7 linked regions of the Ovis aries genome follow. The protein of the gene in region 6 interacts with the protein of the main gene of each other region in a biochemical or structural test. Links are inferred from orthologs where the notes say so. Each region holds a gene or a part of one and is shown on either strand. Other genes may lie near its edges. The genes, in order: LAT, WAS, GAB1, PDGFRA, BAG3, PLCG1 and FGFR2.

Region 1 (4,018 bases), on a different chromosome or scaffold from region 6:
CCGCCATCTTCATCGAGAGCGACCGCCGGCAGGCTCAGCTGCACGTGCAGGGTCGGTCGGGCCTCCCCTCTGTCAGTCCACAGTTCCCTGTCTAGCTTCATGATGCTGCCTGCTTGTCTGTCTGTCTGCCCGCCCAGCCCTGTGTACCTGGCCTCTCTCAGTCCTCAGCCCTCCCCTTCCTCGGCTTCAGGGCTGCCTGACCCATGAGCTCATGCCCTGCTGTGTGCCCATCAATGCTGCCCTGTCCATTTGCCACTGCTTGTTCGTCCCCTTCCTGGGCCTGTGTCTGTCTGTCCATCCAGCCCTGGCTCTGATTCTCTTCCCTGGCAGGTCTGTTGCCTGAAACCGGGCCCACCGATGACCGGATTGTGGTGCCCCAGCGAGGACGCTCCACCCGGGTCCCTGTGTCCAGTGTGCTTATCTGAGGGATCACCGCTTGCTATCTGCAGACCTATCACAGCTGGCCCTGGGCCCACCCCAGGAGGTGCCCAGGCCCCAACTCCTCGGCTAGCCCGTTTTCCGGGAGGGGCCTTGGGCCGTGTTCCAGCTCCCACACACTACATGGGTAGCCAAGTGGGGACACTGGGGGCTCGGGACGGGGGAGCCCCTGCCCCTGGAGCAGCCCTGGGGGCTCGGTGCTATTTGTAACTGAATAAAATTTGTAGCCAGAACCCCAAGTGCCTGCTGGAGTCTCTCTGGGTTAGGGACCTCTGATCTCTGGATGGTGGGGGATGCCCCCTCTCTACCCCCAGGGTCCCAGCGGCTGTCGGGTGACCCCCGTGGGCCCTGGGGCAAAGCCCTGTCCTTCTGGGCCGGTGAGCATTGGGGTGGAGTGAGCTGGCTTTGTGTGACCGTGAGTCATGCCCGTGTCTCCCCTAGAGCCCGCCCTCCGCAGGCCAGCCAGGGCGAGGTGGGGGTGGGCACACCCAGGGGCCCCTCAGAATTCCCGGTGTCGGAGCCTCTCTTTGCTGCCTCCGTGAGCCACAGCTGTGGAGGCCGCGGCCACTGACTGGCCTGGAAGCATCTTTCCCTCCTCACCCCCGCTATGAGTTGCCCCTTGCCAGGGAGACCAGCTGACCCTTCTGGAGGGCCCAGGGTGGCTCCTGAGGTGGCCTCCTCCCCCTCCTCACTGGCTGAGTGGGGGTGGGAAGGGGGCGGGTGCAGCTGGCTGAGCCCCGATGATTTCCTGCCCTCACCCGGCGCTCACCACAGCTTCCTGCCACAGGCAGGCAGGCGCTGAGGAGAGGCGGGCGCGGAGCGAGGGGCAGGTAGGGCTGGGGCACAGGGTCTGTGTAGGGGTGGCTGGTGCCCCAGACTCCAGCCCAGACCCTGGCCTGACCACCCTGGGGTCCAGGGTCTTCCAGAGCCAGCGCTGACACCCGCTCAGCCCAGCGAGGGGAGGGGATCCAGAGGAACCCCTGCCTTCAGGCTCTCAGCCGGCCGCCGGTACCCTTCCCGGCCTGGCCCTTGCCCGCTGCTTCTCTGTGTGGAGGGGTGTGCAGCGAGCAGCTGGGCCTGGTCCAAGCAGATGGAGGCGGTCAGCCTGCCTGTCTACGTGCTGGGGCCCCTGCTGCTGCCTCTCTTGGCCGTGTTGCTGATGGCTCTGTGTGTCCGTTGCCGGGAGCTGCCAGGTGAGTGGGTGCCAGTGGGTTGACCAGATGCCCAGACACACTGCTAGGGATCCTCACTCCATTCTCTGACCTCTTCCTTCCCTTTAACTGTCTGTAACTCTTTCTTGCACGCGGAGACGCTGAGAGCCCCATACTCCATCACCCTCTGCCCTCGTCACCCTCTTTTCCTGCCTCACGGGCCCTCTCTTCCCCAGGCTCATACGACACTGCCGTCTCCGATAGGTGAGTCTGCCTTGTCGACCCCGTTCGACTCCCTCAATGCCCCGTGTGGGGCTGGGCCCCTGGGGGCCTGGGGTGGGGTCCAGGGCCTCTCCCAGCTGCTGACCTGAGCTCTGTCTCTCCTGCCAGTTTGACCCCAAGTAGCATCATGATCAAACTGCCTCGTGAGTACATGAGTGTCCCCTCCCTTGGGTGCGGGGAGAGGGTCCCCTGGCCTGGGAGAGCGTGTGCTTTTGTTCATTTCCCCGCTGTGGCCGCCCACATGGCCTGAGCTGGGGGTGGGGAGGGAGATCGTGTCTGCCCGCCCAGGACTCTCCAGGGCCCTGGGGGTGGCAGGGGTCAGTCTGCCTTTCGAGGCCTTGTCCAGGGTAGGGGTGTGAGGTGTGGAGTCATTCCTTCAGCTTGGTCCTGTGTCCTCAGCCACACTCGTCCCACGACCATCGACCACTCCCTACCCGCTCCCGAGCCAGCCAGACCTGCTCCCCATCCCGTAAGTACCAAATCCCCTCTTTAACCCCTCACCTCCTTGGATTGGGGGCCTCTTGCCCTGTTGCAAGCCCTCTCCCCCTAGAGCCCCACCCTAGTATGACCTCTGACCTTTGACGCCCAGAAGGTCCCCGCAGCCCCTCGGAGGCTCCCACCGTATGGCGTCGTCCCGGCAGGACTCAGATAGCGGTAAGCCTGGAGCGGGACCCACAGGGCTGGGACCACTGGGTAAAGGCCCCCTCCGAGCTGACTCAGTCTCCCTCTTGCGTTCTCTCTGCAGCCAACAGCGTGGCCAGCTACGAGAACGAGGGTGTGACTGGGACCCCTGTGGCCCCGGCTGGGAGGCGGCTGAGACCCGTCCTGGGCTCCGCTGACCCTGTGTCGTTACCCCCAGAGGCAGCCTGTGAGGATGCGGATGAAGATGACTATGACGAAGACTATAACAATGAGGGCTACTTGTGAGTGGCCAGGTGGGAGGTGGGGGCCGAGGCCAGGGCTCCTCGCTCACCTGACCCTTGACTCCCGCAGGGTGGTGCTTCCTGACAGGGACCCGGCCACCAGCACTGGCAACGCCGTCTCACAGGCTCCTGCGCCCAGCAAACCCGGCCTCCGAGACAGCGCCTTCTCCAGTGAGTCGGCCGTCTGACCACTCCCTGCCCCTCCGTGCTGCGGCTCCTCGGTCTTCCCTCTCCTCCTGGATCCTTGCGCCCCTCCATCTTCTCGCTTCTCTCTTTCTAGCCCTCCTGTCCTTCAGCTAGGGGACTTCCGGCTCCGATCTTCTTTTCTTTTCTCTCCTCTTCCCTCTTGATCGTTTGCCTTTTTGTCTGCAAGATTTCCTTGACTCTATTCTTCTTTGGGCTCCGAGCTTTTGTCTTTCTTGTCCAAAAGCTCTTTCTTCATCTCTGAATATTCCTTTCTCAGAGCCTCCTCTCTTGTCTTATGAAGGTGATATCATCTTGCAGATCTCGAAGGATAGTGATGATCAGCTGTCTTTTTTGGGTTTCTTTGGAAAGTTTTCTTCTGCTTCCAGTGTTGTTTCAGTTTCCTTTGGGCTACTTTTCGCTCTTCGTTTTGGTTTCATCCTGCCTCTTGGAGGCTTTTATCAGTGTCTTGTGATCTTCAGTGTCCGTTACTCTTTTCCTTCTATGCTTGCTCTGTGCCATCGTGTCCACACCCTGGCTTAATTTGCCATCCGCATCATCCCTAACTCATGGCCTCTCTCTTGGGCCCCAAACCATCTGTCCAAGTGCTTATTTTCATTCATTCATTCACTCACTCATGTTCGTCCATCTACTCACACAATTCAGCCATCATACTTACTGGTTGCCCCTGAAATAATCACTGCTAATGAGTCTGAGTGAACTCCGGGATATGGTGATGAATAGGGAGGCCTGGCGTGCTGCGATTCATGGGGTTGCAAAAAGTCGGACACGACTGAGCGACTGAACTGAACTGAACTGAATGAGAAAAAGTCATGATTAAAGCAGCTCGCATTACTGAGGACCTCATACATTCGCAGCTAAAGAGTTTTATGTGTATTTGTTGTTGTTATCTAGTCACTAAGTCATGTCTGACTCTTTTGCAACCCTGTGGACTGTAGCCCAGCAGGCTCCTCTGTCCACGGGATTTCCCAGGCAAGAATCCTAGAGCGTGTTGCCATTTCCTTCTCTGGGGGATCTTCC
Region 2 (4,013 bases), on a different chromosome or scaffold from region 6:
TCATTGATTTACTCAATCATCCATCCATCTATTTATCCACTCACCCACATACCCATTCACCTACATCTATACACCCACCTGTACATCTACATCCTCCCATCAATTCGTGCCCCCATTTAACCATCTGTCCACCACCAATCCATCCACCCACACATCTATCCACCTATTCATTCACCTATTTATCACTGCACCCACCCATCTACTCATTTATCTGCCCACGCCCCACCTGTGTATCTATTCATTCTCCCACTCCTTCCATGACCATCTAACACACTGATTCTCCCAACCGCCTTCCTGTCTCTCTTATGCTCTGGTTGGTAGGTAAATGGGTCAATGGCCCAGTCACCCATTTTCCCCACAGGCCCAGCAGCTAGCCCGGTGTCTCTGGGGCTGGTGATACCTGCCCACCCAGAGACACAGGAAATATTCAGCACTCACCCCCTTGGTCTCCACCTGGGTGCGGGGGCAGGGGTGGGAGCCCTCCTCTTCTCTCTGGGAAGATGGAATGGATAGAGAACTATCACAACCCTGCCTCAGTTTTCTGCGCTAGCCCCTTATTACTCCTCCTTGCACTAGAGGACTCACCTTCACTGGCTGGCACTGGTGGAGGCGGGAGCTGGCGCCTGTCTGTGGAGAGACAGGAAATCAGAATCAGGAGAGGGGCTTTTCCAGCTCCCCACTCTTGCCCTCACTTCTTCTCAACCTCTTTCCCTTCCCCAAGGCCTTCTTACCCCCGCTTTGCCTCTGATTCCGTTTTTGTATCTTCTCCTGCACCAGGTTCCGGAAGGCCTGGGCCTCGCCCTCGTCTGCAAAGTTCAGCCCCGCTTGGCAGTCCTGCACATGCCTGGGGGGTCAGCTGCCTTCCAGACCTCCCCACACCTTTCCCCTCTCCTCCTTGCACCCCAACTGAGGCCCAGGGTTTAGGTGGTCACTTACATCTCCAGCAAAGGTGTGGAAAAAGGGGGTGGGAGCAGAGTAGACCAGCTGTGAGTACAGCTCCTGTTCCCACAGCAGCCGGCCAGCCTGGAGAGGGGGGAGCACACTGGCACCGAGGCACACCCTGGGTGGAGGGCCTCTGTTTTCCAGATAGGGAGCATGGTATACAAATTTGGGGCCCCAAAATCTGATTTGGAGAATTCCAGCTCAGAACTGAGGAGCTGGGAATCTAGGAGTCAGATGTGGAGGATTAGGGTACAGTATGGGAGTCAGACCCTTCAGCGAGAAACTTGGATTTGGGGTCCAGATGTGGAATAAGGGGACTTGAATTTGAGGATTTGGGACTCTAGTTCTAGGAAACTGAGTCCATTCAGAGAATCTGTCCCAAATCCCCCCCTTATATGGGGACCTTCATTAGGTCAGGTAGGGTTCCAGTATTAGGAGTTGGGATTGAGATTTGAGGTTCAGAAATACAGACTTGGGAAGGGTTTTTGGAGGGGGTTGAGCCAATTTGAGATTTGGAGAGCAGAGTTATAAATTAGGAGTTTGGTCAATATTTGATGACCCTGGGATCTTGATGCGGTTCTACTGGGTCTATCTTTATCAGTTTAATGGGATGAATTGGGGGTTTATGCTTGGAGGATTTAGGTTAAGGGTTTGTGGAATAGGTTTTTGACTTATGAGCTACCGCAATACTTAGGTGATTAGGAGTTTTCATATAGAAGTTCTGGGATCCAATGCTGTGGGCTTAAAAGGACAGATTTGGAGTTGAAGATTCAATGGCATACTTAGGTTTGGGATTTGTGGAACATATTTTTGACTTAGAAGCTAGGCAAAATTCTGGAGTTCAGGAGTACCGATGGGAGGTTTCTGAGACCTAAAATGTGGAGTTTCGAATAGACATGAGGTTCAGGTAAAAATATAGTATATGTGTGTGTGTGTGTATATATATATATATATGGAGTTTGTGGAACAGATTAGATTTAGGGGGTATACTAATATTGGGGGTTACAGATCTTGACACAAAGACTCTGGGGTCAGTCATCACAGGCTTAGAAAGACAAACCAGAGGCTGGCATCTGGATAAAGTCTTTGGTTCTAGAGCTCAGGGGGTTCACTGATCCGTCTGAGGGCTCAGGGCTATGGACACAGATCTGGGTTTATGGGTTGAAAACTGGATTGTCTGTCCAGTGGTGGGGCGGGGATCACCTGAAGGCCATAAAGGCGGATGAAGTAAGACTTCTTGGGGTTATCCTTCACGAAGCACACAGCTCCACAGTGTCCCTTGGTCCAGTGCTCGGCTCCAGGGGGCAGCGCCAGGTACAGCTGAACAACCGCAGTGGCCAGCGTCTGAGAGGGGAGAGTAGGACTCGTTGGAATGCAGTCAGGGGCATCCAGAGGGTCTGGGAACCAGTCCTGGCCCTTTCTTGCCTGTGGCCATCATGGCTCCAAAGGAAGAGCCACAACCAGAGGGAAAGTGAATGAACATTGAGTTCTTCCTGGGATTGGTGAATGGGGGTAAGTGGATTCTGAAAGGAGATGATGGAGAGGAAGAGGAGGAGAAGGAGAGGAGGATGGGAAAGATGAGGAGAGAGGAAGGGGAGGAAAGGAGGAGAGGGAGAGGATGGGAAAGATGAAGAGGACGAAGAGGAGGAGGAGAAGAGGAGAGGGAGACAAGGAGGGCCAGAAGGTCCCCAGCTCACCCAGCACTTTCGTCCGAGCATCTCAAAGAGTTGTTGGTTCTCATGGTCCTGGAGGAGGGTGGACGGGATGTTTTGCTGAACCCCTTGTCCTCCGCGGCCCCCAGGCCTGCCTCCTGAAGGGCCCCCACTCATGGTGCCTCCTGCCCTTGTCCTCTCCGGCTGGGCTCTGAGTGCAGGGTAAGAAGAGGAACTTCCGCAGTGAGTGGGGGAACAGGAAGTGCAAAAAAACCACAAGGGAAACAAGTCCTCTAGGGGCCCCTCGGTAGGCCTGGCCTCCTCCTTTAGACTGAGGCCCTCCTCCATTTGACTGGTTAGAGCCATCTTTTGGACCAGCTTTTGTCCTCCTTTCTTACTCTCTGGGGCCCATCTCCCTCTGACTTCTTGGACCCTCCTCCCTTTGGTTGGCTGGCAGTGAGGGATAGGCCACTGCAGCATTTCTGCAGTGCCACGGGGGGCAGTCATGGGCTGAGCGGCCTTCTTCCTCCCCAAAGCATCCAGTTACTCTGGGCCCAAGGTCCAAGGCTCTGGTGCTGAAGGGTTATTGCAGTACAGATTTTCCTTTAATTACATAGCAAGCACCTGGGACCCCACCTCTCTCCTGAGACCCCAACTCGCTCACACCTGGCTCAACTTCCCCATCCCTACCACACCATCGCATTTAGTTGCTGTTGCTTCTGAACTTTTGAAAGTGTGTAATCTTTGGAGTCTCTTCTTTTCCCCCACTCAATACTCTATATTTTATTTTATTTACTTATTTAGGCTCTTTGCGATACATGGGCTTCTCTTGTTGCAGTGCAAGGGCTTCTCCTTGTGGTGTTTGGGATTCTCTTGTGATGCGAGTGCTTAGTTGCCCCTTGGCATGTCAGATCTGAGTTCCTCAACCAGGGATCAAACTCACGTCTCCTGCATTGGAAGGCAGATTCTTAACCACTGGACCACCAGGGAAGTCCCTCAACATTCTATTTTTATCTAACTAATATTCATGTAGCACTGAACATGTGTGCCAGGCACTCTTCTGACCTCTTTGTAAATATTGACTCGTATAAACCCTCCTATTGGCCTGGGGGAAACACGCTATTTTTGCCATTTGATGGAGGGAAACTGAGGCCCAGAGTGGTTACATGATTTCCCCAGTAGCTCCAAGCTAGCATGCCAGGCAGGTTGGTCAGTGTGCACTTTTCATCAAGATGCTCCACCGCCCGCTCTGTTACTAAGATTCATATTTGCCAGTAGCAGTAGTTGTTACTGCTATATAGCATTCTATTGTGTTACTCTGCGTGTGTGTGCGCATGCTAAGTCGCTTCAGTTGTGTCTAACTCTTTGTGACCCTTTGGACTGTAGCCTGCCAGGCTCCTCTGTCCAAGGGATTCTCCA
Region 3 (3,500 bases), on a different chromosome or scaffold from region 6:
AGCTAATAGTGTTGTACTTCTTTTTGCACATTTTCTGTATTCCTGGAATCTGAGTCTTACTTTGAGGGCAAAGAGCTCTGTGGTATATACTAGCAGAGTAGTTAATTCTTGCAGTAATTGATTGCAATAATGGGGTAAGTTAGTGAAGACCTCTTACAAATAAAGCTAATAAGAATATTAGCATTTATTTTTACTTAATTTAATAGAGGACATTGTTGGTTAAAAGAAGCTAAACATTTGAGGTAGTTAATTTTATGGCCTTTCTCAGATCTGAGTTTGAGTATAAAGACGTAATTATTGCTTTGTTCTATTTGGTTCCAGACTGGACCCGAATTAATTTCAAAACTTTAATCATTGATTCCTTTTTAAGTTTTTGATTTTAGCAAAGTGTTATGTTTATTGCTTTCGAAACATCATTTTGTATGTAAAGTTGCACAGCTCATGCTTCAGTGTGGATAATGAGGAACATTTTTACATAGAAAATTAAACCTCTGTGTTTGACGATATAACATTAGTAGAAAAAATAAAATAAGGAAATAATGAAAATTATAAATCAAATAACTCTGAAGGAATTGTGCCACATTACTCTTCTTCTCATTAAGTTTATAGTCATAAAATATGTACTTCAATTAAGAAGCAACATGTAATAATAGAGCTTTATTTAGACTTTCAGTAAACAGTCAGGAAATTATCTAATTTAGCCTTTGTCGCTAATTTTTTTAGCTGTGTAACCTTGGAGAAATCACATAACATCTGTGAACTTCTTTTCATGTGAAAACTAGCCAGTCCTAGGTGTACTCTGGCTATAGTAGAGGTGTAGAAAGAAGGTCATGTTTTCCAAATTTCTATGTACTAAAATCTCATTTTCTCTCTCTTGTTTCAGTCAAGCCAGCACCTTTAGAAATAAAACCTTTGCCAGAATGGGAAGAATTACAAGCCCCAGTTAGATCTCCCATCACTAGGAGTTTTGCTCGAGAGTAAGTCTTTATATAAAATACATAGCTCAATTGTTCTTTGTAATGGAAAGTACCTAAAACAGTGGTTCCCAGAGGATGGTCTGGGGAACCCCTCCCCTTTTGGGTTTCTGTGAAGTCAAAACTATTTCATTAATATACTAAGATGTCATTTGCTTCTCCACTCTCCTTCTCTCATGAGTGTACACTGGAGTTTTCCAGAGGTGGCTAATACTGGGCGATAACCATTGTGGCAGCTAAGAGAGTGTGCCTTTGTGTATGCCTGTGCTTAATTTTTTTTCTATTATTTGTAATATGGTGAATGTCAATAGATATCACCCTATAAACGAAAGTTCCTTGGGGTTCTCAATAATTTTTTAAGAATGTGAAAGGTTCATGAGGCTAGAAATTTCTGAGAACTACTGATCTGGAAACTATGGTAGTTTCTTGTGAGGATTATTTAATAAAGATTCATTTAAATATATACGTGGAAATAAAAAGAATGTACACAGTTACAAACCTGTGTTGATGTGTTCATATTTTATATGTATAAACAAGTTTTTTTAAAAATAAGAATGCTTAAATCTTCCTTTTTAAAGCTGTGACTTTCTATTTATCCCCCATATCACTAGCGATACTTTTTTTCTTTCTTTTTTTTTTGCTCTGCACAAGGCTATTAAATGCCCAGAAACATCCCTTTATGGGGAGATGTGAGTTCAGTCCCTGAGTTGGGAAGATCCCTTGAAGGAGGGCATGGCAACCCACTCCAGTATTCTTGCCCTAGAGAATCCCATGGACAGAGGAGCCTGGTGGGCCACAGTCCAGAGAGTCGCAAAGAGTGGGACATGGCTGAGCCGACCTAGCACAGCACAGCATCCCCTCACAGGGTGGGGGATCGCAGTAAGGAAGGGCAAGTAGGAGGTTCAGACTACTGGGTGTAACATAGGCTCAAGAATGTGTTGTACAACATGGAGAATAGAGCCAACATTTTGTAATAACTATAAATGGAAAGTAACCTTTCAAAGTTTTTTTTTTTAATATCTGTATAAGTTTCTCTTTAAATATCTGTTTACAAATAGCTATAAACACTAGATATGTGTTTGAATGTCTGCAATAAAGTGGACTATAGTAAATATGTATAGTAAATGATTACAAGCTTCAGTTCTTCTGGGAAGAATATGCCCTCTCTCTTATTCTTGCTGTGGAAGCGAGCTGAGAAACCTGGGTCAGGCTGTGTGTTTGTGACGACCCTCTCTGCCCTCAGCTCCTCCAGGTTCCCCCTGTCTCCCCGGCCGGATTCTGTGCACAGCACAACTTCAAGCAGCGACTCGCACGACAGTGAAGAGAATTACGTTCCGATGAACCCCAACCTATCCAGTGAAGACTCCGTGAGTAGCGTCTTCTCTTAACATCTCTCTTCCTCAGCAGCCCTTCTGAGTCGTTCGCGCTCAACCTTTCTTCCAGTTCATACACGTTACCCATCCACCTTTCTTTGTTTACTCCAGGAAAAAGGACTTTTTTTTTTTCTTTTGCTCTGTATGTATTTTAATTAATTCCATACTGGAGAGTGAGGAGTTTGAATAAGAAGTTAAGGAGAGTTTTTAAAATGCTTTTGAAAAGCAGATCATAAAGTCTAAAACCAATATCGGGTCAGAGGGTAATACTATATCTGTAAAGTAGATATAAGTTAGATAAAGATGATAAAAAATTTTCCAGTTATATTTCTTTTCATATGTACTTGATGTTTGAAACCATTCAAGAAAATGCGTTATACTGGAAGCATTTTATAATGCATTTCTCCAGATTCAAATCAGGGTGCTCAGGATGCTTTGTGTATTCATTTACACAAAGATCTAAAATCAAGCATTCATGAAATGAACCCTTCATGTTCCTTAAGGGTTGAAAATTAAGTTACGAAATTCACTTAATTAAGCACCTGAAATTCAAGTTATGGTACATCATTACTAATGACATATATTGTTTGTAACAATAACAAAAATATGTTTAATACTTGTATGTATTTTTTTCAAGAATTTTAGAAAAACAAAGCACTACTATTTTTTCTCTTTTTTTGGCCGTGACACATGGCATGCGGGATCTTAGTTCCCTGACTAAGGAACCAAACGCTTGCTCCCTGCGGTGGAAGTGCAAAGTCTTAGCCACTGGATCACCAGGGAAGTCCCAACTAATTTTTTTTTCTTTTAATTCACAGAACACCTCATAATAACTCCTAGAATCTTAGGGTTTTTCTAACTCTTTTGGGGAAACACTGTGTTAAAAACTAGAAGGCAGACACGGGCTGTTCCCAGTTGAGATTAGATAGGGAGCAAACAGACTTTTTTGTCGAGACATAGATTTTAACAATACTTAAGGATGAAAAAAATGCCAGTTCTATTAATTATTAGACAGAGCACAATTTAACTAGCAATCCTAAGAAATTCACTTTAGGAACAACTTACTTAGATTAAACGTGTACATCACATGAATTCAAGGGTTCTGTTCATAGCCTGCAGTGCTGTGAATAATTCTGTACATTTTCAGTTAGGG
Region 4 (3,979 bases), on a different chromosome or scaffold from region 6:
GAGGGGGAGGTGTTGATGCTCTGCCGAGAAAGAGGTTCGTGAAAATACATACTGCCCATCATTTCCAAAATGAGTTTGCCTCTTGATTTCGGGGGACAATTTCCTACACTGCTATGTTGCTTTGTATTTTCTTTGAAAGGAAGAAAAGGAACACGTAAAATTGCAGTTAATGCCCAAAGAGAATATAAATCTGGAGTCAAGAAGTGTCCCTTCTGTAGAAACCCCTAACCCACCCAGAATCCCGGCCGTCGGGAGAGGTCTCCGAGCCGTTGCGTCGACTTGAACCTGGGGTCTTTTAGGGAAAGTGCCGTATAGTTGCTAATCCTTTAATGGGATTAGGCAAGCTGTTGAGTCTAATATGAAGATGATGGGTGGTTTTTTTTCTTGGGCGGGCAGGGGGTTTGCTTTGGTTTGATTTTGTCCAAAGACAGATTTGAAGTAGGGTACAAAGAGTTGAGGGTCTGCCGTAGGTTTGGAACTTTCTCCGACAGAACGACCTTTACTCTCTTAAAGCACTTATCTTGTCTTGCCTTTGTTTTCATGGTTATCTGGGCGAGGTTGTCCTGGCTTCTATCACGCACACAAAAAGGCTCAGGCTTGATCGTCTGCGGAATCTTCTACAACCAGCCTGCTACCTCCGCGTTCAGGGGGAGGGTACAATTTGACTCTCCCCACACCCTCTCCCGACGCGTGGATCGGGCCGTACGGGTACACTAGGGATAAGAAGGGAGCCCCCAACCCTAGCCCTGGGGCCCCAGGCAGGAGACTAAGCCGGGAGAGGGCGATCCTGCTCGCGAAAGAAAGGGGGCGCTGACGCTCCAGGAACCAGACCTGGGCAGAGTGGGGCTTCCCAGCGAGGGCGGGGGAGGGGAGCGCGATTGCCTTCCCCACCTCCTCTAATTTCGAATTCTCTTGTTGGGTGGAGGGCTCAACCTTTACCACCACCCCCGACTCTGCCCCCCCCCCCCCCCCCCACACACACACTTGACAGTGGCCAGGGCGGCCTGGTTTAGGCTGGAATGTGGGACAGCCATCACCTTCTCCCTTACTTAGAGAGTGGACACGGAGCAGCCTGCAGGGGATGTTCACAGAGAAGTACTCGAAGGGGTGCTGTATGGAACTGCGACCGGCTCCTGGGGTGTCAGGTTCGTGAAGACGCCTGAGGCTGGGCTAGGGGCCTCATTCCTCCAGTCCTTCTGCGCAACCGCCTCCCGTGCATCTTCAGTTCGGATGACTGCACTGCTCACTATTACTTCCACATGTTCCTTCAGGAAATCATTGAAGGCAAATATATGAACAGCCCCTTGTTCGGAATGCTAACAGGATACCGTAATGTTTGTAGATAACGAACGGGGACTAAAGAACCCCCCAAAATCGGAGTGCGGAATAATAGGGGGAAAGCGGGTGCTGGATTTCATGCTAATAATAAAATCCAGCTGAGATGCAAATTTTTATACCACGGACTCGAGAGGGTAGGAGGCGAGGCAGGGCGCAGGGCCTACCCAGTAAGGCCTACTTTGCTGCTACGACATTGCCAGCCTGGTCAAGCCGGGATCTCCGGGACGCAGGCCTCTGCTCTCCCCGCCCACAAATGGTAACTTCACAGTTCCTTTCAGAGACGCTTAAAGGGACCCGAAAAGTGGACTGGGCCGGGGTGTCTTCGGGCCATAACTCCTCGCGAGTTTAAAACAGAGAGAACGGATGAGCAAGGAAGCACTCAGTCGTCCTTCTGGTAGTAATTACCTGCCTAATTTGAATGATGCCTTTGTTATGATCATTAACAAACATTTGCTAAAGGTTTCCATGTGTGACATTCCAGAAGGTTTAAAGGCCTGGGGAGCTGACTCCGGGGATGGAACACCGGTGGGGGGTGGCGCAAGGGAAGCAAATGGTTGGGAGATTTCCCCGAGCCTGGGCCGAGCAGATAGAGGGAGGTCAACATCTGCCTCCCCAGCAAAAGCAAAATAAACCCACTAGTCGGGAGCAACCTCGGGGCTGGAGGCCCACAAAAAGAGGCGGTTAGCTCCTTAAAATGAGTTCTGCCCACCCGCCCCTCCCACTGCTCATAGGCGGGTTTGAATCTTGCCGTCCGCCCTCCGCCGAGGTTCAGCGGATTGACTGCGCGCGTCTGTCAACAGGGGCGTCGCGGAGAGGTGGGGCGAGCCGAGTTTCCCTCTCCCAGTGTTGTTCTAAGATCCTTTCAGATTGCTCCCTCGATGCCCGGGGTCCTGGGTGGTCCAGGAGCCGCAGCGGGCAAGAAATGCCTCCTGGCCGAGGCGAACTGAGAGGTCTCTTCTCTGTCTGCTTCTGCCCGGGGCGTTGCGGGGGACCCACCACCCTGAGCTCCCGGAGGAGTGACCCTCGCCGGCTTGGGTACTTGAGCGAATGTCCCAGCCTCAACCCGGATTTTGATTTTCACCTCTTGTGTTTTTCCCTTGAGAGATCATCATGGAATTACGAATGAGGGTTTTTCCCTCAAACCCGCAGTCGAGGCGGCTGCGACCCTCTGGGAAGGAGGCCCAACTCGAGAGATGAGCCACGTTAGGGGAAGTTAGGGGAGCGTGGTGTTCTGGCGTGGCCTTGCGCATCTAGGCCCTCAGGCGACAATGAAATTGGAAGCAAGAGATGGAGCAGAGCCAGCCATCAAAAAGAGCCCCCCACCCGAAGTTTTTAAAACCAAATCCAAATGATCCCTGAAAACAAAACCAAAATCTCTCCCCGGCTCGCCTACCCAACTCCCGGGCGACCGCGACGGGCAGCAGCCCCGGGTCACACCTTTGAGTTTCGTGGGCGTTTCCCCGCTGAGTTGGCTTTCTGTTTCTCTTCTCCTTCTTCCCGGCGCTCCAGCTCCACCCCCCAGTTCTACTTTCCTCGGAGAATTCAGAAGGTACTTGGGCTTTGGAAGACCTCTGATTACAGCAGTTATCAAAGACGATAGTAGCGAAAATCACCTTTAAGCCAAGTCGCAGTTGGTCCTTTCAAATGAAGTTGGGGGTTTGTGGTGAGGGAGGGACGCACTTCTAGCTTTTTTTTTTTCCCCCCTAACTTTCTGAATTGAAAATAAAGGGCCATTTGGTGGCTGGGGGGCGGAGGGAGGCGCTAACTGTCCCATTTCCCACCCTCTTTCAATTCTTGTCTGAGCCTGCAAGAGACACCTCCCTGGGCCGGCAAGGGACCTTAGTGAGGAAGGCTCCGAGGAAGCTTGCGGATGGTGGGGTTCCCGCCCTTGCCTCGGGTCTGCCCCAGCTGAGGTTTGGAAGCTTGCTCTAGTCTCTGCAGCTCAGAATACAGAGGCCCAAGTCTTATTAAAAGAGGAGAAAGAGGGTCCAGACAGGCTCGTGTAACTTGGGGCGACAGTTCTCTCTGGGTCCCCCTAAACACCTCATCTTCTTGCTGGTGGCTGACTAAGGGTGCAGCGTCTCTTCTGGGTTCTTAGAGGCTTTCTCTTCAAAGCTTTGTCTCCAAAGAGAAGTCCAAAGCCATTCCCCGTGGCTGGAGACCAGCCGCGCCTCTGCTAGGGCTAGGGTTCCAAACACTTGAGCCTGCTTTGTGACCCGAGGACCATAGACTGTGAGCTCTGTTTCCCACTCTGACGAGCCCAGGGAAGGACTAAGCTCCCCAGAGCTGAGAAAGACATGGTGGGACTAGACCCCCCCTGGGTCTGGATTCTTGGATACCCTCTTCCTAGGGAGAGAGCACGGCTTTCTCAATATGGAGAGGGTTTTGCACCACCTACTCCCCTCTCCTTCTGTTAGACCTTTAGCTTTTAGTTACTTTTAATTTGAAAGCCGTGTGAGGGGAGAGGGAGGGATCGAGGAGATTGGGAGGTCTGCTCTTTATTAGGGGCCTCAGCATCCAGCTTTCCAACTCACAGCTGTGGCTTGGGAGGGGCAGGAGGGCTGGCTCTGTTTAGGTCAGCTTGACTGAAGAAAGGGCCTTGTCCTCAGGAAGTCCCAGGAGTAAGGCAAGGGCTAATGAT
Region 5 (3,500 bases), on a different chromosome or scaffold from region 6:
GACTTTATGCTTTTGGACCAAGCTGTTTACCCCTTCTTGAGCCCCAGTTCCTGAGCTTCAGAAACAAACCACAATCTCTGCTCATCAGAAAAACCAGCCTGTGAAATGCTGGGGGGACATGGGGCTGTCAGCAAGCTATCTTTGCTGTGTGATGCCGGCCAGGCCCCGATACCCCACATTTCACGGAGCTGTCATGAGGGTCTGGTGTCATCTGTGGTCTGGGGCAGCCCAGGAAGCATGAAACCCAGCTCCCCGCCATCCCTCCCCCTGCCCACACAGGTCACGGTCATATCGGCCTGTGAGCCAGGCCTCTCCTTACCTCGGGTCCATGGGAAGCTGGAGGCTGGGCCGTTGCAGCAGCTGCCACTGGTGCACTCGGTTTATCCGGCTGGCTCGCTTCCGCCACACCCCGCAGGGGTGACTGGGATCTCGGGGGAGCTGCTGCAGCAGCCTCGGTTTGGAAGCGCTGTGTCCCGGGCTGGGAGTAGGCAAAGACAGGGTGCGGCCGGCTCGGGGCGCCTTCATGGAGGACGGGGATGGGAATGTAGCCTGGCCGGAGCTGAGGGTACACGGCATGACCTTCTCTAGTGGGCAGCAGCCTGGGGCCCTCCCGCGAAGGCCCATTTGCAGAGGATGCGGTTTCCTAAAAGTGAGAGGAGACACAGACCTGTTAGAAACTGAGAAGGAAACAGCCCTGAGGAGGAGAAAGCATAATGCCACATGCTCTGATCTTTCAGAGTGACTCTGGGCCCCACGGTGCCAGCCAGGAGCAAGGACAGCTGAGCACAGAAACTGTGGGTACCTCCCCCGATCCCCTACTTCTTCCAGACCCCTCCTCCCTTGCTGAAGCTGCTGCTGGCCCAGCAGTTTAAGAATGAGAAGCATCAAGAAAAAGAAAGAGACGAGCAAGGTTATCTGTGGCGCAGAGGAGAAGTCCCAGTTTCCCCAGCTGGTAACAGGTTTTTGTTCTGGATGACAAGGCAGCCTTGCATACAGCGGAGTCCCCGACAGCCTCCCAAACCTTCAGAGACCCAGATCAGAAGATGCTAGGAGGATTCAATGCCAACTCGCTAAGGGGATTACAGCCGGCATCTCGGCTTCCTAAACGGTCCTCACATTTCCTGACAACGCAGACTCGCGGGGGACCCTCGACACAGGCTACAGCTCAGAAATCTGCAGAGAAGGGGCAGCGGCGGGCAGGCAGCCTCCTCAGGAATATTTTCAGAACAAGCGGCAAGAAAGGGAGATACCCGAGGAATGCAGAAGAAGCACAGGATGAGAACAAAACCCGGGGATTAGTTGTGCTGGTCTTGTGATGCCAACAAAGCCTGCTTGGCGAGGAGCGGCTGGGGTCCCTCCTACGTCCTCTCATGAAGTTCTCTCTTCAGTGGCCTGGCTATTTTGGGACCCTTGAGAAGGCCAAGTTCCAGATGTACCACAGAGAAAGATCCTGTTTCAGACAACAAGGCTGGCCAGTCACTCACCAGGCAATGTCACTCCTCACCAAGCAAAGGCTGGGCAACTGAAGCCAGGGACCCCTGCGGCTTTCTGTCCTGACCATCTCCTGAGCACTAGAGGGTCCTTTCACAGAGGAGGGGGCTGAGGATTCGTGCCACTTCTATGGATCCAAGTGGACAAGCTATTATGCCTCCTTACGAGGCATCCCCCTGAATGGCAAACACCAGAAGGCTTGAGGCTCTATTCCCGCTGGGGCGAAGCTGGTCACAAGGAGGGCAAGCCCTGGACCTTAGATCTTTCAGACCTGTGAACCTCTCTCTGGCCTCCTGCTGAGCTCGCCACCCCAGTGGGCCTCCCAGCACTTCGGAGAGGCCCGAGTGTTGCCGTGTCCTTGGGGACATCGGCAGACAGGCGGTACTCTCAGATTAGAATACCCACGTGCTCAGGGTGGCGGCATTATTTTAGCCTGCTTAACTCTCGGGTCATCCAAGAGCAGGGAGTGGGTCCAGGCGTCACATTCAGAAGCGCATTCCTGCCACGAGACGGGCACCAGAAGGAAGGCAGCAGCAGCGCTGAAGGAGGCCCGTGCTGCTGGGTGCTGACTCATCACAGGCCGGCTAGGCACCTCGTCCTCGCCCTGGGGCACCATCCCTCCAGCCTGGAGCGGAGCCTGGACAAGTGCGGGGGGCGGTGTCCCTGCTGGCCTCCTCCTGGCCACGCACTAGAGCAGAGATGGGCAGGTTAGCAGCCCTCGTCCGCTGGCTGGCCCCTGGTGAACAGCCTGCTCCCAAGCTACTGGGTACGATGGTTCACAACCAGCAAGGCTCAATCCCTGCCGGCCAGGGCCGCGTGGAACAAACAGGACGACCGCCTGGAGAGCACAGGGGCCCACCTGGGCTTCTCTAGTAGGGTGGGGTTTCCTAAAGAGGGCTCCCGTTCTTTCTTACCTCTGTTAGTAACCATTCTTTCATTGGGGGTAAGTCTCTTCACCTCTCGGAGCCTTAATCCCCTTTGCTAGAACATGGAGTTAGCAACACCCACTTCACAGGTCTGTAGTGAGCTGTTACGAGTGCCCATGGCGAGGGGTTTGCCCAGGGGGCTGAAAGACATTCCCTTCTTAAACGGGCACAGGATGCTTCAACTCAAGACGCCCAGGGATCAAAGGAATCAAATCTGAAGGACTCAGTTAACCAGTGGTAACCGGAGTCAGGAAGGTGGACACACCTGGAGGAAATGGTAGTCGTCTGGGAAGGGACCCTCTGAGGAGATGGAGAAGTTCTCTCTCTCTGGGTGGTGGAGATAAATGAGTGTACACCCATGTATGAGAGCGGTTTCTCACAGTCTCGTCGTCTCTGGAGCCCCCACGCTGCCCATCTCCTGCCTCAGTCCACCCAGGCTGAACCCCTGAGGGCAGCCACCCCCCACCACCCTGCTGTTAGCCGTGCCTCCACCTCAGAGCCTCCGGGGCCTGGAAGCCTTAGAGAGGCCTGGCTGAGTGAGGCCTGGCCACTCCTGGGGGAAGCCCCTGGATCCAGAAGGTCCGAGGGCGGGCCTGCCAATACATTTTATGCATCTCGCCGAATATATTTTGTGCCTCAGTTGAAAATGGAAAGGGAAGAAAAAGGAAGGAAGAAGGGGAGGAGGCAGAGGAGCAGTTCCGCCTGCCCTGGGGCTGTGAGAGCACAGCCAATACCTGGCCTGGGTCTTGGGGCAGCGGAGGGAAGCCTGGTCGCTGTAGGCCGGGTCGGGGGCGTCAGGGGCCAAGCAGGAAAAAAGGGAGGCTGGGAGGGGCCCAGAGGCTGCTTTCCTATAGATCTTCGGCCTGCACTTCCGGTTCCTTGTGAACAAACAGCTCATTTATGCCGTTTCATAAAAACCCCATGCATCTCTTCATGATTGTCGTGTCTAAAAGAAGGCAGGCGCCCTGATACTCTGGTGGGTGGCGGCGGGGGTGTGTGGCAGGCTTTGTTTAGAAAACACTGCTTGAGGTCATCTCACGTCTATGGACTAGAAAACTAACACTTCTCCTTGAACGAAAATTT
Region 6 (4,299 bases):
GGTCCCTGTGCTCCTCCCTTCCTGCTCCCTCACCCTTTTGTGCAGCCACACAGTCCCAGTCTAAGAGTGACAGTCATAGTCTATCACCGTTGTCATGAATAACAGCTTACATTTATTAAACATTTAGAACGTATCCAGCAGCACAGGAGTTGAAGGCAAGGTTGGATTTGAAGCCCACGTATATTGTCTTACATTAATCCTCTCCTTTATCCCCCTAGAATAACCCCATTTGGTGGAGATATTATTACTCCCACTTTACAGATGGTGACACTAAGGCTCAGAGAACTAGCTGGCTGGGGGCGATACACAACTAATACATACGGGCTTCAAACCCAACCTTGCCTTCAACCGCTGGGCTGCACTTCAACTGCCTGCTGGTCCCATGCACGGTGTGAAACACAGCCTCTCAGCCAGGAGAAGTCTACCTGGGAACCTCAGCCAGCTGCTACCAATTCAGGAGAGCCCGGGGAATCCACAGACACATGGAAGGGCCATGCCTGGAGTCTGACGCCAGGGTGATGTCCCTCCAGTCCTCTGCAGGATATGTCCTTCCTCCACTCTGGAATCCAGCCTCTCAAATTCTCTAACATTTTCTCCTGCAGGCTGCCAGGGCCCGAGGAGGGGTCACGGAGGAAGGTGGCTGTCGTGTGGAAGTTCAGCAGCTGTGTGAGATCTGGAGTGTGTGGCTGAGGATGGCTGTCTCACCACAAGACCTTCCTTCCTCCCCGTCTCCTCAGTCATCTACACGCCATACCCAAGGTCTGGAAGACCTTCTCTTGGGGGGTGTCACTTCCTGAACCCTCTTCCTCTACACAGTCCTAATTCTGAGCCTGGCTCTAACTCCAGTCTCGGGGTGGGGGTGGGGGTAGAGGGGGTTCTTGCAGGAAGCAACCCACAGCCTGGGGTTGCAGACACATCATCTCACACTTGGAGGTGGGCGAATGGAGGGCAGAGCTGGGGGGCCCATCCGGCCACAGCACAGGCACGCACTCAGTGGAATCACTCTCTGAAGGATCTGGGGTTTTTCAAAATCCCCCAACACACTCTTTCCCAGAAGCAGCCAAGGTCAGGTCTGGGACAGCAAAGAGGCAGGAAATAGTAGCCGCTCCTGGCTCCCTCCAGCCACAGGACGCAGGACACAAAGAGCTGGACCCCAATTTGGCTGCGTCCTCTTGAAGAGTACCTGACACGAAGCAGCGAGGCTGGGCTTTCTGGGGCCAAGCTCTGGAGAATGTGCTTCCAAAGGACAAGGGGAAGGCTGGCCTCTTTCCCTGCCCTGGCTTTGGGAGTCTGCCCACGCACACAGACCTCCAAAATTCAGTTTCAGGACAAAAGAAGCGGCGGGAAAAACATCCACTGCCTCCTCTCGGGCTTTTCCAAACCAAACAAGACCACCTTCCTCCCTGGCCCCAAGAGAGAGATGAGTAGGCCCGGCTCTGCTCCAAAACCAGCCCTACGCCAACAGCTGCCTAAGTTCTACTTGGGGAACCCAAAGGTTCCTTTGTAAGTAGGAGCCCGGCCGTGAGGCCCAGAGGTGCACCAGATTGCTCTTTTTGGAAAAACGGTGCATCTGGTCTGGCCTCCGGTTCCGCGGCTGCCGGGGAGAGGACACTGCCTCGGCCGACACCGCTCCCGGGGTGTCGGGGGACCCGACGCCGGCCCCGCTGGTCTCCAACTCGCTAGGATTTTTAGGCCTCTGGGCAAAGCGCCTGGAACACTCCCCCCCTTGCTGGGGGAGGGGGTGTCCTGTCAGGTGACTGAGGACCCGGATGCCCCCCGCCCCCGGTGACCACCCTGGCCGAGGCGGGGGCGGGGCCCGAAAGTTCGCCGGAGTCTCTCCAGCGGCGGCCCCCGGGCGCGCGCAAGCCGGGGCGCAGACCCCGCGCCGCCCGAGCGCGCGCGCCCGCGCAGCAGGCCCGGGGAGCCGGGGGTGTGCAGCGAGGGGGAGCGCACTTACTGGCCCCCTCGATCTTGTCGGCGCCTCGGCTCCACGTGATCTGCCGCGTCTCCAGCTTGACCTGGAAGGTCTTCCGCTCGGGCCGCTGCGACTTCTTGGAGTAGAACAAAGTCATGACGGTGCCCACCTCGAGGCTGCGGCAGAGGTGCACCACCTCGGCGTCCGAGGGCGCGCCGGGCCCGCAGCCATTGGCGCAGGGGGACGCGGCGCCCGCCATGGCTCGGGTGCCGGGGGCGGCGGCGGCGGCGCAGGCCCGGCGGGAGCGAGCTGGCGGCGGCGGCGGCGGCGCAGGCGGCGGGCGAGCGGACCCCGGCGGCGGCGGCTCCTGCGGGCGGAGACGGGGCGGGGCCTGAGCGGGGGCGGGGCGGTCCTGCAGGCCCCGCCCCGGCCCGCGCGCCGGGAACAAAGGCGCCCGCGCGCCCGTGGGGAGGACCCCCGCCCGCCGCGCCTGCGCCCCGAGACCCCCCGGGCAGGCCCCGCGTCAGGGCACGCGCGCGCGCGCCTCCCGCAGTCCGCCAGCCGGGCCCACGGCCCCGCGGGGTCTCTTCGCGCCGCCCCGGACACAGCCCGGCTGCCACGGCCGGTCCCGTCACGCGCGGCAGCCTCGCGCCGGCCCGGCCGTCTGTCGCGCGCGCACAGGCGGCTGCCCAGCCCACCGTCCCGCACAGGCCCGGCCGCGGCGGCTCCTTCCGAAGCCCGCTAGCGGGGCGACGCCCGCGCGGCCACCGGGAAAAGAAGTGCAGGCCCGGGGCGCCTCCCGGGGCCCGCCGGTCAAACCCGGTACCTGGGAGGGCTGCCCGGCTGAGGGAACCAGGCCAGGCCGGGCCGCCTTAGACCGGCGGCGGCGGCGGCGGCGGCGGCGGCGGAGGAGGAGGCGAGTCCTCCGCGCGTCCTCTCCAGGGCGGGGCGGGGGCGGGGCCACCCGGTGATTGGTCGGCAGGCTCTGACGGACAGTCTGAGTGTCCCGCCTCTCCCCCCTCCCTTCCCCGGGCAGCCGGGGGCGGCCCCGCCGGCAGCGCCTCCGACCGTCGGACCCACGATCTTCCTGGCCCTGCGGCCGAAGTGGCCTCGCGGGTGTGTGTGGGGAGTCCCGTTATTCGGAGTAGCCCACAGGCCTGAGCATCCCCTGCGAGCCCTCCAGTGGTCTTGGCCTGGCCATACACTTCGCACCCCCACGCCGCGAGTATCCACGCGACTAGGATGGGGACTCAGGCCCTACGGCTCCGCACCATTCCTGCAAATGCTCTCCCGAGCTTTGGTTTTCCCGGGCCGACTCTATCCCTGTTTTCCTCCTCGGTCTCTGGCCGCTGCCTTTCGACACCTCAGCAACTTCTCTTGCTCAGGGGTGGGTCCTGAGTCAGTTCCCAAGGCGGCCTGACCTCTCAGCGTCACTGCCCCCCGCCCCCTGCCAAATTCAGGCACCCGAGCGCCGAAGCTCTATCCCTCCCTGCATCCCGTTACCTGTTCCACAACCCCACGTAGCACAGACATCTCACATCTCTCTTCAAATTGCTTCTCCCATGGTCTTCAGTTTCTCAGAACATGCCTCTGGTAAGGTGCTCGGGCTAAAACCGATGGAGACAGCCTTGGTTCCTCTCTCTCTCTCCCTCAACCCCACAGCACTCCGTCAAGTCCCATTCCGTCTGCCGTCCCATGTCTCCGCTCTGCCCACAACCTCAAGGCCCATCTTCTCTCATCCAGACTATTTACCCTCCTTGGTTTTGCCTGCATGTATTCCCTATGCTCTAGTTTGTTTGTTTCTTTTTAAATTTGGCTGTACCGGGTCCTAGTTGCAGCATGCAGGATCTTTTAGTTGGGGGCTGTGGGATCTAGTTCCCTGACCAGGGATCGAACCCAGGCCCCCTTTGTTGGGAGTGCAGTCTTAGCCATTGGACCACTAGGGAAGGCCCTATGCTCTGGTCTTCAAAATGAAATTAAATCCTGACTCCCTACCTCCAGGCTCAAATCATCCAGAACTTGCCATGGCACACAAAATCCCCTACCTGGCCCAGCAGGTCCAGCATGGTCTGGCCCCTTTCTATCCCACTTCATCTCTCACCACCTCCCTTTCATTCCATTCTCCAGGCACAAGTTCTTTTGGTGATTATTCGATTAATCTGTACTCTTTGTGTTGCTACAGCCACTCCCTAGACGCACCCCGGGCCGTCTAATTGCCCTGTCACAGAACACCGCCCAAGCTAAAGACACCTTCAGTCACAGTAGAGCCTGTCTGACGGATGTTGAGCCAGACAAAGCAGGACAGCATACTGCATTTTACAGGTAAGAGGCCCAGCAGGGCACCCAGCTGATGCTAGAGAAAGATCCAAGGAGTTCCCTGGTTA
Region 7 (3,500 bases), on a different chromosome or scaffold from region 6:
TTAAAAAGTCAATTGAGCTACTCTTACTTGTGTGGGCGGGAGGGTTTCTGGGGCAGGCATGGAGCCTGTGGCACTGCCACTGGTTCTCTTCAGCAGTCCTAGAAGGAGAGCCTTATGGTTTCCAGTTTTGCAGTGAGCTGCTTCTCTTGCTGTATACAAAACTGAAGTCAGTTTCATTTCTGAAACTCACCCTAATAGAATCAGTGAGGGGGTATTTCCAGCTTAGAGGCTCATGTTGATAACACTGCATAAAGACAAAGAGTTTTATTTGAAAGTGGTGGAAGGAGGAAGAAAGAACCAAATCTCCATCCCTTGTGTCCCCTTTCCACCCTCCCCAAAGAGTGATGGTTTACCATCACTTATCTGTTGTCTGCTGATGGAAAATTCCATCAGAATATCTCCTCATCGTCATCTGGGGATGCTTTCTGGGGACAGGAAGGGGCAGGTTGGATGAACTGCAGGAGGGCCCCGGTCATTTGTCTTTGAATGTAAGAAGTGTGGGGGAGTTTGTTTTCTTAACTGGGTGTGTTTAGGTTTCTGTGATTCAGATGGGTTACTAATGCTGTTTTCTCCCCTCTTTGCAGCTGGTCCTTCGGGGTGTTAATGTGGGAGATCTTCACGTTAGGGGGCTCGCCCTACCCAGGGATTCCCGTGGAGGAACTTTTTAAGCTGCTTAAGGAAGGACATAGGATGGACAAGCCAGCAAACTGCACCAACGAACTGTAAGGGCTCTTGTCTCTCCTGATGCCCCAGGGAACCCACCACGCCACTAACGCTTCTCCTGGCTGGTTCCGTTTCCTAAGGTCCCCAGGTTTCTAAATATGTCCTGAGAAAAAGAATTGCTGAGACTTCCTGGGCTCAGTCCCAGAACTGAGATAGAGAGTTCCACGGACAGGCCTGACTGTCCAAAAGAAAGAGCATCCTTCTGGGGTGGTATGGAGTGAGCTTTACACCACTGAGGTGTTGGGTGCTTGGCCGAGGGCTCCTAGCCTTCCACAGTGAGCCCCGCAGTAATCTTCCTGGGCCACTGTGCTATCCTCGCTGTTCTTCAGAGTGAGAGGAAGATACATCAAGCCTTCCCTCATGCACAAGCCTGAGACCCATGGGGCTGCCTCCATTTCTTATGAGTGGTCTGTGGCCTCTGCACTGTGAGTAGAGAGTGGGTGCTTCTGCAGCCTCTTTGTGACCTATGCTATTATAGATGGATTTCGACCACAGCCCTCAGGGTGAATGAACTAGTATCTGCTTACCTATATTTTACCCATATTTCAGTGCAGAGGATTAAAAATTTGTCCAGGTGCTAATATAGTCTGACTGTTAATCCTGATCTGACTATAAAACTGGTTTCGAGCAAAATCTACCCTGTACTTTAAGTGGAATTACTTGTGTTGGTGACAAGCGTCTTGTGCAGTAAAATCAGTGCTTTGAAAAGGAGTCTCTCCTCCCAGCTCCCAGTGTCAACTAAGAAGAGGGATTGTTCCAGAGACTGCGGTCTCTTGGGTATTGTTTCATGGGGATTTTATATCAGTAATCCCATGAGTGCTTTTCGGTGCACAGTGGGCATCAGATGAATGGTCACATTTTATAGTATATTATATAAAGCCATTTATTGTGCTCCTTGTCATTCCTGGGGCTTTTTCTACTATAGAGGGTCTGTCGAAACCCATTGTCAAGATAAGGCCTGGGAGCGTAGGCCTGTCCAGGAGTTAATCAGGAAGTGAAGGCATAGCTCAGTGATGACAGATTAATTCATAAGAACCTTGCCTTAATGTTGTGCTTTTCAAATTTCAGTTTTTCAAAACTGAGGAACCTTTGTCCAGAGTGTCGGGCAGATAACAGTAGAGCAGCTTTGGTCCTGGCAGGGGCGTGTGGGGAGGGAAGACTGGATTCCCACCCACCCCTACCTGGCTCTTCCCACAGTGTCCAGAAGTATGGAAATGTGATGCCCTGTTATAAGTCACTGCCACAGGGATACCAGAAGTCAACCAGGAAAACAGATAGAAGTGTCTTTTTGGGTTTTTGGCCATACCGTATTGCTTGTGAGATCTTAGTTCCTTGGTTAGGGATTGAACCTCAATCCTTGGTGGTGAAAGCGCTCAGTCCTAACCACTGGACCACCAGGGAATTCCCAGAAGTGTCTTTTTTGATGGTGTAGATACTATCCTAAGCATTTTGGATAAAGTGATGTTTTTGTAAATCAAAGTGCCTTTCAGAGGAACTGAGCAGTGCCTCTTTTGGCAGAGTGGATCACCACCTGCCAGTTCAGTTGCTAGGGAAGTTCTGATACGTTTTCATAATTGAGGATATCTCTCTATACTGACTGTTAAGAGTGGCTTATAGCCACACCCCTAGTCCTCAGGGAAGTAACTCACCAAGGAAATCTATCTCTTCCAGGTATATGATGATGAGAGACTGCTGGCATGCAGTACCCTCACAGAGACCCACCTTCAAGCAGTTGGTAGAAGACTTGGATCGAATTCTCACACTCACAACCAACGAGGTAAGAGCCTCCTTCCAGAAGACAAGGGTCCTTGCTGGGAATCCCCTGTACAGCTTTTGAAATGCAGCCTCCCCAGTGGGAGTCTGGAGTACAGTTTATCATTGTTCCCGGGCTTGGATAGACTGAAACCATGTTCCTCCCAAACCCTGACTTTTCTTGGAACTTCATCTTGAGAGTTCCAACTCACAAAACCAGACACAAGGGCCCCACCTGAGGCTGCCCCTCGCTGTGGCATGTGGGTGGTGGGTCCGTGGTGTGTGTATGTAGAAAGATGGGGAAGGAGGAAAAAAATGTCCAAAACCACAGCATTTGGATTTGAGAGGGAAGGAGCTGGGGTTTCTGTGCTGGTTGGATTCCTTGTCCTGCTCATTAGTGTGAAGGCTGCTGGTCATTACTCTGAGGGCTGCTGGTCATTACTCTGAGGGCTGCTGATGGTCCCTTACCAATGAACTTGCCGGGATGAAGTGAAGTTGTGCCATTCTAGCTTCTATATAATGCAGGACATAGACCTACATGACCCTGTGTGGTCATAGTGTAAACATACACAGAGTCACTTCTTTAATGAGTGACTTACAAGATTTTTAAGTGAAAACTTCTGATAAAATATATTTTTTCTATAAAATAGTTATAACCTATAACTACAAAAGAAACCCTCTTCTGTCACTCACTGTCCACACTCAGCCATGTCAGTGGCTACTTCACCATGCAGAGAGAGTAATCTCTGGTTGTAGAAAGAAAGTGATGTGAGCAGGGAAGGTGATGAACCCATCAAAGGCAGAAAAAACCCCACAACAGAGAGAAATAGTGAATGAATTAGAGATATATAATGAGGATATGGAGCAGTGTTCCTTTAGACAGGGGGGGAAATCTCCCGCAATTGTCTTAATAACAACAGAAAAGGTTAAAACTGCCTAAACATTTTAGAAGGGAAAGAATACATTTATTTTAAAATAATGTATTTAATAGTTTCAGATTGATTTTTTTTTTTTAATAATAAAAT

What was found.
Region 1: the proteins of PLCG1 (region 6) and LAT form a complex in vitro, tested with the Homo sapiens proteins (2 studies listed by BioGRID and IntAct, with this or other methods). The link is inferred for Ovis aries from reciprocal best matches to the Homo sapiens genes PLCG1 and LAT.
Region 2: the proteins of PLCG1 (region 6) and WAS form a complex in vitro, tested with the Homo sapiens proteins (2 studies listed by BioGRID). The link is inferred for Ovis aries from reciprocal best matches to the Homo sapiens genes PLCG1 and WAS.
Region 3: the proteins of PLCG1 (region 6) and GAB1 form a complex in vitro, tested with the Homo sapiens proteins (2 studies listed by BioGRID and IntAct, with this or other methods). The link is inferred for Ovis aries from reciprocal best matches to the Homo sapiens genes PLCG1 and GAB1.
Region 4: the proteins of PLCG1 (region 6) and PDGFRA form a complex in vitro, tested with the Homo sapiens proteins (2 studies listed by BioGRID, with this or other methods). The link is inferred for Ovis aries from reciprocal best matches to the Homo sapiens genes PLCG1 and PDGFRA.
Region 5: the proteins of PLCG1 (region 6) and BAG3 form a complex in vitro, tested with the Homo sapiens proteins (2 studies listed by BioGRID). The link is inferred for Ovis aries from reciprocal best matches to the Homo sapiens genes PLCG1 and BAG3.
Region 7: the proteins of PLCG1 (region 6) and FGFR2 form a complex in vitro, tested with the Homo sapiens proteins (2 studies listed by BioGRID and IntAct). The link is inferred for Ovis aries from reciprocal best matches to the Homo sapiens genes PLCG1 and FGFR2.

What each region holds. Positions count from the first base shown.
Region 1 is NC_056077.1:26,377,513-26,381,530, reverse strand, and holds the start of LAT (linker for activation of T-cells family member 1), read left to right. Parts: upstream 1-1,218; 5' UTR 1,219-1,528; coding exon 1,529-1,631; intron 1,632-1,747; coding exon 1,748-1,853; intron 1,854-1,979; coding exon 1,980-2,014; intron 2,015-2,270; coding exon 2,271-2,340; intron 2,341-2,460; coding exon 2,461-2,525; intron 2,526-2,616; coding exon 2,617-2,794; intron 2,795-2,864; coding exon 2,865-2,965; intron 2,966-4,018. Other genes in the region: SPNS1 (protein spinster homolog 1), read left to right, coding at 1-51, 331-425. UniProt on the Homo sapiens protein: Required for TCR (T-cell antigen receptor)- and pre-TCR-mediated signaling, both in mature T-cells and during their development.
Region 2 is NC_056080.1:56,408,888-56,412,900, forward strand, and holds the start of WAS (actin nucleation-promoting factor WAS), read right to left. Parts: upstream 2,801-4,013; 5' UTR 2,772-2,800; coding exon 2,640-2,771; intron 2,287-2,639; coding exon 2,146-2,286; intron 1,024-2,145; coding exon 937-1,023; intron 835-936; coding exon 732-834; intron 628-731; coding exon 586-627; intron 493-585; coding exon 439-492; intron 1-438. UniProt on the Homo sapiens protein: Effector protein for Rho-type GTPases that regulates actin filament reorganization via its interaction with the Arp2/3 complex. Important for efficient actin polymerization. Possible regulator of lymphocyte and platelet function.
Region 3 is NC_056070.1:14,499,040-14,502,539, reverse strand, and holds part of GAB1 (GRB2-associated-binding protein 1), read left to right. Parts: intron 1-883; coding exon 884-977; intron 978-2,217; coding exon 2,218-2,341; intron 2,342-3,500. UniProt on the Homo sapiens protein: Adapter protein that plays a role in intracellular signaling cascades triggered by activated receptor-type kinases. Plays a role in FGFR1 signaling. Probably involved in signaling by the epidermal growth factor receptor (EGFR) and the insulin receptor (INSR).
Region 4 is NC_056059.1:70,434,933-70,438,911, reverse strand, and holds the start of PDGFRA (platelet-derived growth factor receptor alpha), read right to left. Parts: upstream 2,801-3,979; 5' UTR 2,732-2,800; intron 1,266-2,731; 5' UTR 1,050-1,265; intron 1-1,049. UniProt on the Homo sapiens protein: Tyrosine-protein kinase that acts as a cell-surface receptor for PDGFA, PDGFB and PDGFC and plays an essential role in the regulation of embryonic development, cell proliferation, survival and chemotaxis.
Region 5 is NC_056075.1:39,302,553-39,306,052, reverse strand, and holds part of BAG3 (BAG family molecular chaperone regulator 3), read right to left. Parts: intron 644-3,500; coding exon 320-643; intron 1-319. UniProt on the Homo sapiens protein: Co-chaperone and adapter protein that connects different classes of molecular chaperones including heat shock proteins 70 (HSP70s), e.g. HSPA1A/HSP70 or HSPA8/HSC70, and small heat shock proteins (sHSPs), e.g. HSPB8.
Region 6 is NC_056066.1:69,782,716-69,787,014, reverse strand, and holds the start of PLCG1 (1-phosphatidylinositol 4,5-bisphosphate phosphodiesterase gamma-1), read right to left. Parts: upstream 2,801-4,299; 5' UTR 2,742-2,800; exon of another isoform or gene 2,389-2,741; intron 2,283-2,388; 5' UTR 2,175-2,282; coding exon 1,958-2,174; intron 1-1,957. UniProt on the Homo sapiens protein: Mediates the production of the second messenger molecules diacylglycerol (DAG) and inositol 1,4,5-trisphosphate (IP3). Plays an important role in the regulation of intracellular signaling cascades.
Region 7 is NC_056075.1:40,990,030-40,993,529, reverse strand, and holds part of FGFR2 (fibroblast growth factor receptor 2), read left to right. Parts: intron 1-584; coding exon 585-722; intron 723-2,394; coding exon 2,395-2,500; intron 2,501-3,500. UniProt on the Homo sapiens protein: Tyrosine-protein kinase that acts as a cell-surface receptor for fibroblast growth factors and plays an essential role in the regulation of cell proliferation, differentiation, migration and apoptosis, and in the regulation of embryonic development.